Linked DNA regions of Caenorhabditis elegans. The protein of the gene in region 2 purifies or fractionates together with the protein of the main gene of each other region. This does not show direct contact. Each region holds a gene or a part of one and is shown on either strand. Other genes may lie near its edges.

What was found. The genes of interacting proteins can lie anywhere in the genome.
Region 1: the proteins of snu-13 (region 2) and nifk-1 fractionate together in Caenorhabditis elegans (co-fractionation; one large-scale study listed by BioGRID). This does not show direct contact.

The regions. Positions count from the first base shown.
Region 1 is NC_003281.10:4,689,180-4,695,148, reverse strand, and holds nifk-1 (RRM domain-containing protein), read left to right. Parts: upstream 1-1,850; 5' UTR 1,851-1,859; coding exon 1,860-2,063; intron 2,064-2,108; coding exon 2,109-2,222; intron 2,223-2,270; coding exon 2,271-2,786; intron 2,787-2,830; coding exon 2,831-2,920; 3' UTR 2,921-3,051; downstream 3,052-5,969. Other genes in the region: T04A8.8 (Rad60/SUMO-like domain-containing protein), read right to left, coding at 66-620, 667-836, 883-1,144; ppat-1 (Amidophosphoribosyltransferase), read right to left, coding at 3,070-3,165, 3,210-3,374, 3,670-3,785, 3,834-4,143, 4,379-4,639, 4,686-5,091, 5,716-5,804.
Region 2 is NC_003280.10:10,654,776-10,662,282, reverse strand, and holds snu-13 (Small nuclear ribonucleoprotein associated homolog 13), read left to right. Parts: upstream 1-3,656; 5' UTR 3,657-3,668; coding exon 3,669-3,824; intron 3,825-3,904; coding exon 3,905-4,135; 3' UTR 4,136-4,256; downstream 4,257-7,507. Other genes in the region: marc-2 (RING-CH-type domain-containing protein), read left to right, coding at 1,324-1,422, 1,466-1,905, 1,955-2,036; rsp-7 (putative splicing factor, arginine/serine-rich 7), read right to left, coding at 161-818, 1,079-1,212, 2,075-2,251, 2,568-2,686, 2,735-2,885, 2,954-3,073; lact-3 (Beta-lactamase-related domain-containing protein), read left to right, coding at 4,615-4,769, 4,974-5,097, 5,864-6,260, 6,882-7,027. UniProt on the Caenorhabditis elegans protein: Binds to the 5'-stem-loop of U4 snRNA and may play a role in the late stage of spliceosome assembly. The protein undergoes a conformational change upon RNA-binding.

The DNA.
Region 1 (5,969 bases), on a different chromosome or scaffold from region 2:
AAAACACCGATGAGATTCAATAGATGTTAAGGTAGTCAAATTTACAGAAAAACAGTTTCTAGAATTCAGAAATAAACTTCGATGCAGTCGTCATCTTCTAAGTCAAGCTGTTCACAAGTGATATTCACATCTTTGATACGTTCATTATCGAATACGACCTTCATAGATTCAATTGATGGAATATTCTCCTCTTTATCTTCAACGAATGCATCAATCACTTTCTGAAGAATCTCTTGAATTGTTGTATCCTTAGCTGCTTCAACTTGCACCGGCTTTCTTCGACTTGCAAGCAACACCTTGATTGTGAAAGAGTCAGGCGAATTCTCAATTGTGAACACTTCCGCAGGTTCTCCTGCTTCCTTGCTTGCTTCAATGAGTGGATGTGGTAGTGTCATCGGACGCCAACCCAAGCTTTGTGGTGTCGTGTATGTGTCAATTGTCTTGCCATTGTGACTGAAAACTACACAAGATACAGGGCATCCCCATTTCGTCGCATAAATTCTTCTAATTTCAGAGAACGTCGATTCGAGAAAGATGTCATGACGAGATTTCATATCATTTCCGTGACTTTCACAATCCAGAATAACCACTGTGACGGGAAAGTTTTCAGCAGCAATGCTCTAAAAAATAAGCAAAATTTAAGAAAAAAACAATTTTTCCTCTCACTGATTCATCCGCGTCTGAGTCGTCTTTCACATCTTCAACCTCCGGTTGTGCTCCTGATTTTGCAGCTTCGTCCCAACCTTCACAGATTTTCAACAGTCCACTAATAACATTGTTTTTCTCGACTGGTGCGTGAATAACGGTCTCTCGCTTGTAAATAGATCGACGATAAGCTAAAATATTTGTATGAGCTGTATAAAAAAGTATGATAACACTAACCTTCTTCTACATCATCAATTTCGTGTCTGACTTTTTGGGAGTATGTTTCTTTCTCTACTTCAACGCATTCATCATCATCCGAGTCGTCCGGAAAGAGTTGGGTTTCCCGCGTCTTTTTTCTCATTGGCGATGGACCGCTGGTATCGAAATCGTCGTCTGAGTCGTCGCTCTCACAAACTCGTACCGGTTGTCGCTTCTTTTGGAGAGCAGCTCTTCGATTTCCCAAATAATCGCTGTAGGCATTGTCGTCCGAATCACTCATTCCTAAAAATAAACTAAATTGGAAACGATTATTTATGCTAACATAGATCAAAACGATATCACGATTGAATCTGGAAATATTGAAAGGGAATCATTAATCACTACACAAAAATGAATGCATCTAAAAAACAGCAAAAAGGAGAATGACTTTTTCGGGAAAGACGTTAATGTTGTTTTGAAATGTAATTATTTAAGAAAGAACGCATCGAAACTCAATGATCGACGAGTCGAACAGAGAGGATAAATATAAACACTTTAAAAAACATTGAACAATTTTACGTCTCGGTACATAACTACCTCTGATATTAGGCAGTGAATAAAAGCGAAAAGTTAAGTAGGAACTGATTGGAGTTTTGAAAATAGAAAGTATGTATTTATTGTCTAAACCGTTTAGAATAATAATTGACCTTCGTGATAAGAATAAGAGATCAAAAATCGGTTGATTGGATGAAAAAGTTTAGAAATGCGACGAAACAACAAAAATGTTTGTGTGCGTGCGCTTCAGCACGAAACATGCGCCTTGCACGGAAACTGCGTCAACGAAGAAACGCGCCAGTAACACTGCTTTTGTCCCTCACAAAATTTTAAAGCTAATTTTTCTACCTTATTTCCTGATTTTTCATGTTTGAACAGCTGAAAACTCTTATAATTTGCAAAATATTGTTTTGAAAATTTTTATTGCACGAAATATACACATTTTTCAGATCTCAGACACAATGGTTGCCCAGAATCCAACTTCGATCAGTTCTGGAGGACGCAAGCAACCTCAGAAGCAAGACAAAGTCCAAAAAAAGCAGCTGAAGAAAATTTATGTTGTCAAGATTAAGCGTATTCCGTTTGGATTCTTCGAGAAGGAGTTGCTCGGGTATTTCCGTCAGTTCGGAAATGTGTTGAGAATTCGTGTGGCCAGAAACAGACGCGTAGGTTCAGCAACCTGTTAATATAGTATTAAATCATTATTTTAGACTGGTAATCATAAGGGATGGGCGTACGTTGGATTCGACAACAAGGCTGTTGCTGAAATCGCTGCCGAATCAATGAACGGTTACTTGATGTTCGAGCAACGTCTCGGGTGCACGGTAGGTCAACTTCTACCATTATATCCTTGAAAAACTTATTAAATTTAGGTGATGAAACCAGAACTTATCCCGAAGGCAATGCGCCATGGCCCACTGCTTGTGATGCGTCCATCTTACTTGGGCATCGCTAAAAAAGATACAATTGCCAGAAACAATACCACCGGAAAAAATGACGTCATCAATGCCAAGAAACGCGTGCAAAATCTCAACAAAACTTTGAAGAAGCTGCAGAATATGGGGATCAACTATGATTTCTCTGTGTCTGGAACACCAAGAACGCCACTTAAGAAGGTCATTGACAATGAGGTTCAATTTATCAGTGATGTCACCCCGAAAAGCACGACTCCGAAAATTGTGAAAGCTGCAACTCCAAAAGCAGCTACTCCAAAGGCCGTGACTCCAAAACAAGCAACTCCGAAAGTTTCCACTCCAGTCACCAAAAAGGTTGTCATCAAGACTCCTAAAACTGAAAAGCCGGAACCCAAACAGTTCACTCCAAAAACTCGCGCAGGAAAGAAGGCAGCTGCTGCTGCTACTCCACAGGCTAAATCTACGCTATCCAACGTACGAAAAACTTTAAATAAAATTTGGTTATATTAATTTTCCAGACAATCCTCAAATCCGTCGCTGCAAGTGCCCGTCCAGCTGCTGTCGAAAAGAAAACATTGAGATCTCGTGGAAAGAAGAAGAGCTTGTAAGCGTCCTGATTTCTGTTGTTAATCATTTTATTTTTTTTCCGCAAACTGTTGTTGTTCTTATTTTTATACACATTCATTGTTGATTTTTAATTGAATTGATTTTGTTTTTCATGAATACAAATAATCTATTCAAACTTTTCAAACACTAATTATAAATCGATAGCAACTGGATATTTTCCAGTGAGACATGCGGTGCAATGTCCTGGAGAGAAGTTGGCAGCTCGTTCGATTCCTTTTTGAACAGACTGAAAAAAAATTAAATTGAGGAGAAAGTGAGGTTCAAACTCACCGAAACTAAACCGTCAACCGAAAGATACCGTACTGAATCGGCTCCAACAAATTGGCAGATTTCTGGAATTGTTTTTTCGGCAGCAATCAATTCCTTTGTGGTTGGAATGTTGATTCCCATAAAACATGGGAATTTTACAGGCGGGGAAGCAATTCGTAGATGAACCTTTAAATTTAGAGGTATTATTTGAATAATGCGGTCTTGACACGATCGAAATTTCTAAGATACCGTACTCTACCGTATACTCCAGTTTCTCGTTTTTATGTATTCCGCTATTGTTTTCTTAATATTTGCTGAACATCTAGATGCACAGTTTTACAACAAATATATGTATTGGAAAAATCTGCAAAAACGGAGAATTACTCGCGTTATACGGTAGCTGAAAATTTTTGCTCGTGTCAAGACCTTTTTCACGGTTTATAAGGTGAAAAATCATTATTTTTAACAACAAGGGTAATACCTCTTTTGCTCCAGCATCTCTTAACATTTTTACCAAAGTTCTCATCGTATTTCCACGTACAATTGAATCATCTACTAACACAATCCTTTGTCCATGAATCTTTTTCTTCAATACTCCTGAAATAGAATTCATGAAGTCTTTCTAAATAGTTTTCTTTATTTTACCAAATTTCATTTTAATCGCATTTTGTCTCATCTCATCATTTGGTTCTATAAATGATCTTCCAACATATGAATTTCTGTGTAAAACAGGTTCATATGTGATTCCAGACTGAGAAGCGTATCCAATTGCTGCACTCAGCGAAGAATCTGGAACATTTCCAACAATATCTGCTTCTAGATCATCTTCAAGAGCCATCGTTTTTCCACATTCTTCACGAACAGTTTGTACTTGTTGTCCTTCAATTTCTGAATCATTTCGTGCAAAATAGACATATTCGAATATGCACATAGCCAGAGGAGTATTCGGTTTCATCTGAAATGACTCATATAATTCCAGGTTTCTGATTTTTCAGCATAGCCCATCTGTCTCGATTGTAATTTTGGAAAATACCAAAAATAACCAGAAAGTCTAAAAACTACATGTATTTGCAAAACTTTAAAAACACTTTTTTAAATTTTAATGTCTAACAAAATACATACATGAGAAAATGAGGTCAGAGAAGGCGGTAGGTAGGCGCGTAGGCAGGCCAAGATATATGTAAGTTTACCTGCCACACCGACTTGATTCCTCCTGTCGATAATTCCACAATTTCTCCTGGTCTCACTTCGAAATCTAATTTAGCATTTGCAGGAAATGCACAAGATTCAGAAGATGCAATGAATGCTTCTGGATTTCCATTTTTAGAATATACAGTACCAACACAAAGTGGACGATTTCCAAATGGATCACGAATTGCGTATAGTCTATCAAATGTCATTACTAGTAGAGAATATGACATGTTTAGTGCAGACATTGTTACTGCGAGCTCCTGAAGTTTTTTGGTTTAAGAATTTTCATGTTTTTCAAAAACTCACTCTTGTAATATCACCCATCTCTTGTCCATACTTGCATTTTACATTCAGAGCAATCGCTTTTGCAATCATTTGAGCAATAAGCTCTGAGTCAGTGTCAGTTGATAAACCAACACCTTCATGAAGTACTTCCTTTCTTTTTTGTTTCGCATCAACCAATTCTCCATTATGAGCAATTGCTACAGTACCCATTGCAGTATATACCACAAATGGTTGTACACAATTGATTCCAGACTTCTTCTTTCCTGCAGTTGAATACCTATTATGACCAATTATTATCGATTGCCCATTCATTCTTGAGATATTATCTTCAGTAATCACATCTCGGACAAGTCCATGACCTTTGATAATTTCCACGTGGTCTCGAGTGATTCCATCTGAACCAACGAGTCCTGTTGATTCAGTTCCTCTGCAAAATATACATGATAAGAATTGCAAATTTGCAACTAATTTGTTTTAGTATTTTATTTTTCTATCACGCACGGAAAACAATTTAGAAACTAGACAATATTTGCAAGAAATGCTAGACTTATTCATTTAGCTATTTCGATTTTTTGCAAACTCAAAATCACTGCACAATCTACTTGTTTGCAACAATGTCAACCACTGCAACGCTACAAGCACTTTATTGGTCGTGTGTCCGAGTGGTTAGCGCTGTTTGCTGTGACCCACGAGACGCCAGTTCAATCTCTACATACGCGTCATTTTCATCCAATTGGCAACGTGATTCTAATGTTGGCGATTCAGCGTATTTCTGACGCAAAATTGATAACTTCTCCATTGACGTCTAGTCAGACTAAACTGGCTCGGATACAATTAGGGAGTTTACACTTTTGCCTTCTTGTGGAACGATGGCTTAAGTTAAGCAGAAGCGGAATGAACGGGAAGAGAAAACGAGAGCTTTTTGAAAAATTAGATATTTAGGAATGAGGAGCTGAACAGTTAAAAATTCAAACTGAAACCAATGTAGGAGATGTATGAAATCAAACTTTTTGAGACAGAGCTTATTAAAAATTTAAACTTAAAACCCCACCTGTGTTGAAGAGCAGCCAATCCATTTGCAGCAAGAACATTCAAATGCTCATAATTTCCAGCGGCAACAATCCCAAATATACCACACATTGTTCGGTGTGATCGTCGTCAGAAATCAATTGCCTAATGTGCATGTTATTATCTTTTTCGATGCTCTGAATGTTTGATACGCCAATCATAAAACCTTTACACCCTCCACCTGCTATGTTTTTAAAGTTATTGCCTATTTTTCATGGAAAAGTTCACTTCTGTCGA
Region 2 (7,507 bases):
TTACGGAAATAAATAATGACATTTGTGTTTTGAATAAAATCAATGATCGAAGGAAGATGTGAATATCTCACAATTAAAATACAGAAATAATGAAGGTGGTCGGTTAATCAAGATTCTGAACAGGAAACAAGATAAGATTTAAAACAATAAAACAAATAGATCACTCGGATGCCATGACAACATCTCCATTTCCAATTTCTTCATTCTTGACCTCGCCATTAGTCGGTGTTGGCTTTTCCTCCCATTCATCATCAGAAGAGTCTTTCCGGGCGGCCTTTTTCTCGAGAAGCTTCTCACGTAGCGAAGATTCATTCTCGTTTTCTTTCTTCTCGGTTTTTCTATCTTCCTTATCACGTCGTTTTTCAGGTGATCTGCTTCGACTGCGCTTCTTGTCACGCTTTCGATCTTTGGATCTTGAACGAGACCTTTCACGTTTACGATCACGAGATTTGGAACGTCTTCTGCGATCTCTGCTTCTCGACCGTTTCCTATCACGATCCTTGTTGTCACGACTGCGACTGCGGCGTTTACGATCTCTGCTACGGCTTCTCTTCCTGTCACGATCACGGTCACGATCACGACTTCTAGATCTTCGGTCGCGACTTCGCCTTCTGTCACGATCTCTGTCACGGTCACGATCACGACTATCCCGTCTGCGACGCGGTGACGGCGAACGACGACGACGTGGTGATCGCGAACGGCGCCGATCCCGATCATCTCCGTTTCTACCCATCCGAATCGCTTCCTCGATTTCTCCAAGAGCTTGTTCGTCTGTTTTGGCTTGTGGTTTGATGATGGCAACGCGAGAGTGTTGAATTCTGAAGAAAAATATTTTAATTATTGGATTTAAAAGTTTTAAAATTTAGTTGACTTATTTTAAAGGTAGAATCGCGTGGACGGGGTTTTTAATTTTTAAAAAAATTAAAAATTAAAAAACAGACAACCATAAAAGAAAAACGGCGGAAAATTAGCCAAAATTGTGTCAAAATATTTTTTTTTGTTTTTCTTTTATGGTTTTTTTTTCTGAATTTGAGAAAATCACCATTAACCTTTAAAAAAATTAAAACTTTAAACTCACTTCAATGGTCTCTCCTTAAACTCGAATCCATCGTTTTGAAGTGCATTGCACACTGACGCTTGCTGTGAGAATTCAACATAAGCATATGCACACGGCAATGCATCCGGTCCCGAGGCCATTCTGGCGTACATTACCTGAAACGTGAAAATATATTTAATTTTGTTAAATACAAATGTTGTATTTTTTTCAAATTTCTAATTCATTTCTAAATTGTCGGTTGCAAACTTTCTACTCGTTTTGAAATTATGTGCACAATAATCGAGAGAAACTTAGAAACTATTCGGTCACCGAAGGAAGTTTCTACAAAAACCGTAATCTGCAGAATATGTTTCGATAACGATACGGTAATTTTTCTTTTCAATTTCTAATTTAGCAATATATTTCTAGAGTTCCGACAGTCTGATCAAGCCATGCTCTTGTAGCGGAACAGTCGCCTACGTTCACAATGGATGCTTGGAGCAATGGGTCCGTACAACATCAAACATTCAATGTACCATATGTCAGGATATGTTTGAGTTGATTCCGGCAGGATTGAAAGATTGGAACAAAATTACTCTGCCGAGACCACTTTCGGAACAGCTCGAAGACTATATGGAATTCGGATGTACTCTTGCGTGGGTGGTGTATATGCTGAGATTCGCATATGTCGGACTTCGTTATGGAAGCCGTTCGATGATCGAGAATGTCGATATGGCTATTGGAACAGGAATGATGCGCAGCTTTTGGTGGATGACATTTTGGTTCAATTTTCTTTACTATGGAGCAATGTGCTTTGTTTTCTTCGAGAAATGGCTTATTGATAATACAATTTTTAAGTTCAAGGATAGGTAATTTTCTATGTTTCTGATAACTTGATTTCTAACTGATATTTTCTAGATCTGGAAGCCCGTCAAGCCAAATTTCAATTGCAAGTCGATCTAGCAAGAGAGGAATGAAAATGCCAATAAATGCACATTGATAGAAATAAATCTTTCAAAAATATCGTTTTTAACCTACCTCTCCAAAATACATGTTGAACAGTTCGAGAACCTCGTTTCCATCAACACCTTTCGGAAGATTTCCAACGTAGACTGTTCTTCGAATTTCTTCGACTTTGGCAGAATCCGTGTCAGCCGGTAGAGGTGGATAAGCCGGTAGTCCGAGCTGCTCCAGTGTCGGATCGACTGTAATCAACTGAAAAATGGAATAATTAGACGGCGCGAAAACTAGAAATATTGCAATTTCTAAAATATCAGGAATTTGAAAATTTCTAAATTTAATTGCTTTCATATCCGACGATGCGCAGCATAGATTGGCGAGGATACACTGAAACTGAAAATTTAATCATTCGGCGAGTACTAACAAAGTTTTTTGATGATTTTCTGGATTACGCTTTCGGGATTTTACTGCATTCGTCATTTGGGTAGTGGCCAGTAGAACTGTAAAATGAACAAGTAACGTCCGTTACCACCAGACGCTAGTTGGAAAACTAGTGGGAAAATAAACTTACCAAAGCAGATCCATCGTCAGATTCTTGAATTTTATTGGTGACGTGAGGTGGGAGCTGTCGCTGACCAGCCGTTGTAGATCCACCACTGTTGAAAAAACTCTCCTCGTCCGGAATCACAGCTGAAAAAATGAAACTTTATGAAAAAATGCAGCTTTCAAAAAACTCACGATTCGGATATGGTAGGCAGACTATCGCGCAATCGATGACGACTGTGTTGGTGAGATGCTGAGCTACTTCGACACATCGCTCGTCGTCGAACTTGATAAAAGCAGTTTTCAGGAGAGTATTAGCTGTGATATTACCTTCTGATGGATAGACCTGAAAGAATAAATTTTTAATTGAAATTTTTAATCGAAAAATGTGTAAATTTGGAATAATAAACCAACCTTCAAATCCTGAATTTTTCCGAGATAGTTGAACATGTTGTAGATGTGATCCCTGGTAGCCGATGTCGAAATGTTGGCGACATGGAGAATTTTTACTTTTTCTTTCTCCTCCCCCGACATTCCTGAAAATAAAATAATCAATTTTCGTCTTGAAAAATAGAAAAACAAAATGTAGTTCAATAAATTTAAACCGGCGACGTAATTTCAAAATTAACATGTAAAAATCTATCGAAAAGGCATAAACTATTAGAAAAAGTTAGATTTTTATCGAAATTTCGTTTAAAATCGATAAAAATCAGATAAAACATGTAAAATTCAGGTTAAATCGAAAATAAATGCAGCCAAATTCGAATAAAAAAGAATCACTGCATGTTTGGCAGCGTGCCAACATCTTGTCGCTGCGAGACCCGTCCACTGTCTGCGTCTCTTTTTGGGCCCTTTTCGAAAATTACAAGTAGTTTTTTTCTCTTTTCTTTTGTTTCTCCCGTTGCCCGTTGTATTTTTCTTCGGAAATTAAATAAGTTGGTACAATAAATTAAAAATAAATGGAATTTTGATTATCTATTACTTTCAGATATGTTACTAGTGCAAATCATCGTAAAAATTTGAATTTACAGCTTTGAAATCGTTTTTATTATTTTTTCTCTTGAATCGATAAATAATTCTTTCGCATTGTAGCAATTTTCAACCATCTTTATTTCAGAAAAGAAGAAAAATGGCCGATGATGGAGTCAATCCGAAGGCCTTCCCACTGGCCGATACCAACTTGTCTCAAAAGCTCATGGATCTCGTCCAGCAAGCGATGAACTACAAACAGCTCAAGAAGGGAGCCAACGAGGCCACCAAGACTCTCAACAGAGGAATCTCTGAGGTAAGTGTATCGTAACCATGTTGAATTGCATTCCCATTTTCAAAATCAATTTTCGAACCAAATTAATTGAATTGTTTCAGATCATCGTCATGGCCGCCGATGCCGAGCCACTGGAGATTCTCCTCCATCTTCCACTTCTCTGCGAAGACAAGAACGTTCCATACGTCTTTGTTCGCAGCAAGGCTGCCCTCGGACGCGCTTGTGGAGTCACTCGTCCAGTGATCGCTGCTTCAATCACTCAAAACGAAGGATCTCAGCTCAAATCTCAAATTCAGAAGATCAAGGAGGACGTTGAGAAGCTTCTCATCTAAATCCTTCTTTTATCAATTTGTTGTTACGTTACCTCATTGTTGTTATATGATAATCCATTCATTGTTTTGTTGTCCCAAATTGCAAATACATCGTTTTTGAAAAAGAATGAACGTTTCTGCGAAACATGGACATCTGATTGTTATCAAATTGCATAATCGGCTACACTGTTCTAAAGTGTATCTTGGACACACAAGTACTTCATTGGCGTATGATGATGCGAGTAAATAAACCTCCCGGAACCGGTTGCATTCTAATTCGACCCCCGTTTGCCCTAGAATGTGTCTCTTCCTAACCATTGGCTTGCTAATTCCACCCCAAACGCCGTCACAACCCGATAGGGCCGCCAAAAAAAAGGCAATCGCTGATAACTACAGGGAGTCGCTTCCTCCGGGAGAAAAGACGGTTTCTGGCAAGGCAAGCACCGCCCATCTCCGTGTGCTCTGTCTCTCCATTCCCGCCGCTCCGTGTTCCCACCAACATGCAACAGTTTTCTCTACTCTTCAAACTATTTCTAGCCACAGTTTTATTATCTGTAACTTATCGCTTTGTATGTGATCGGTTATATTCAAATCACAAATCCGATGTTAGTGGATTTGTCGATGAACGTTTCGAGAAAGTTCGAGAGGTTTTTAAGTAAGTTCGACCTTCCTGCTCTCTTTTTTTCTCATTTTTCTACCCGTGTGAAGTGACAAATGTGTTTGACTGAACTGAAATTAATATTTACTTTGCCGGCATGCGTACAGGCAAATAATCTTTTTCTATCGTCATCTTTATTTTATTTTAAAAAAAAGAAAAGGAAAATGTCTTGCAAAAATCCTGGAACTTGTATTTTTACAGAAAGAATTTCGAAAATGGATGGGAAATCGAAGGATCAGCATTCGCTGTATTTGTTGATGGAAAGAAAGTCGTCGATTTATGGGGTGGATATGCTGATAAGCAGGCGGCAAGGAAGTGGGCTGAGGTAGATTTTTGAAAACAAAAAAAATAAAATCAAGCATTTTTCAATTTCAAACTTTTTTACTATAAATCTTGGGTTTTTTGCACCAAAAATACGGTTCCCCAGGTTTTTTTTCGATTAAAAAATAATTTTCCTCGAGATTTGGTTTTTTTTCCAATAAGTAAATTTGTTTTTATCGAAAAACTACGAAAAATCGATAAGAAAAATTCCGCTGCAATATAAGTTCAAAATTACAGTACTGTTTAAAGGTGCACACAAAAATACGGTTCCATAGGTTTAACCACGACACATTTATAATAAATGCGAAAAGACGTGCGCCTTTAAAGAATACTGTAACTTTTAACATCTGTTGTTGCGGAGTTTTTATCGATTTATCGTAGTTTTCTCATTATTTTCGTAAGCTTTTTTTGTTTCCATAATGTATTAAGTAATTAAAAAAATCATGAAACTTGTCGTGTCGAGACAGTATTTTTGACTCAAAATTTCGCACCTGAATTTCCAAACTTTAACCCAATCTAATACTTTGCCCTTATTTGGAATAATTTATCGTCGGTTTCCCTCATAGCTTCGACATATATTTTTCCACTGTCGTCAGATTGATATGAACTGATAATAATATCAATTTGATACGGGGAGTTTTTCGGTTCAAAACGGTTTTTGAAGTCTATAAAATTGAATGGAATGGCACAAAAACAGAGAAAACATTTTTGAAAAAAGTTGTGACATATCAGCAAAACACAAAAATTTTTAAAAAAATTGATTGTTTCAGGACACAATAACAGTGACGTTCTCGACTACAAAAGCTGCCGCGTCATTAGCAGTTGCACTGCTCTACGAGCAAGGAAAATTGAGATATGATGACCCAGTATCCAAGTATTGGCCAGGATTTGGAACTCATGGAAGAGATAATGTTACTATAAATATGGCACTTTCTCATATGTCTGGAATGGCATGGTTTGACACTCCAATCACTGAAGAAATCGCCGCGGATCATGAAAAAATGCGGCAAATTATTGAAGAAGAAGAGCCAAAATGGGCTCCTGGAACAAAGACTGGTTATCATGCATACACTTTTGGATGGCTAGTTGATCAAATTGTTAGACATACGGATGATCAAAAACGTGGAATTGGACAGTTTTTTAGAGAAGAAATTGCAACGAAATTGGGTAAGTAGTTTTCTATAACCTAGGTGCAAAAATGTGGCGGTTTTTTTTTTCGATTTTTATTAATCGAAAAACTAAAAAGTCCAGATTTCTCTCTTTTTTTCTACTCGAAAAATGGAAATTTTCGATTTTTCGTCTTTTTTAACCGAAAAACGAAGATATTCGATTTCTACTTTTTTTTAATTGAAAAACTATAAATAAGTAGTTCCCTATTACACATTCGTGCCGAAAAACTGAAAATTAGCAATTTTGTTTTAATAAAAAATTGCGTTCGCCTTTAAAGAGTACTGTAATTTCAAACTTTTGTGGCTGCGGAATTTTCATGAATTTTTCACAGTTTTCTCAGGATTAGTGAAATAAAAATTTTTTCTTCGATCTCTAGCTTTTGTAATCGAAAAACGAGAAATTTTTGAGATTTTACTTTTTTATATTGAAAATCTTAAAGTTTTTGTTTTTCCGTTTTTTTTTTAATTGAAAAACTAAAAAATTTCAGATTACCCTCGTTTTTCTACTGGAAAACCGGAAATTTTGAATTTTCAAAAAGCGACAAGCGCTCTCAACTTATCTTTGAATAATAATTTTTTTTTCAAAACTAAAAAATAATTCAAAACCTCCTATTTCCAGATGTGGACTATCACATTGGCCTCCCAGTCTCAGAACAACATCGTGTCGCCCGTATCAGTACACCAAATATGCTCAATCGTCTTGATGAGATGTGGACGGATGTCCGTGTTGTCAAGTACATGAAATCATTGTTCAAATTGATGACGGTATGGTTTTTTTGTCAATGAAATGAATGAAATTATCAGAGTGTTCCGGTACTTAACCGGGAGTCCACAACAATCAAGTGAAATTGCAAATAGTTTCAGTTTTTGTGTGTTTCCGATTGTTCTAGTACCGGTATACTGCAGCACCGCTTATCATGTACCAATCATATGATTTGGGAATTGAAGACACGAAACATGGAAATATATTCTATAGAATGAACTTTTGTTGTTTATTTAAATAGAAAATAGTTTCAAATGCGGAAAAGTAATTATAAAAAATATACAGGAACACTATTTATATCTGACGCACAAAATATCTCGTAGCGAAAACTACAGTAACTTTTTGAATTACTACTGTAGTTGATTTATTTCTTCATAAATTATTGGTAAATCGATAAAATATTGCAATACAACACAAAAATTACAACAAAAAAAAACTTTCAAAAATCGCTACAGTAGTCTTTTTAAGATAGTTTTCGCTAC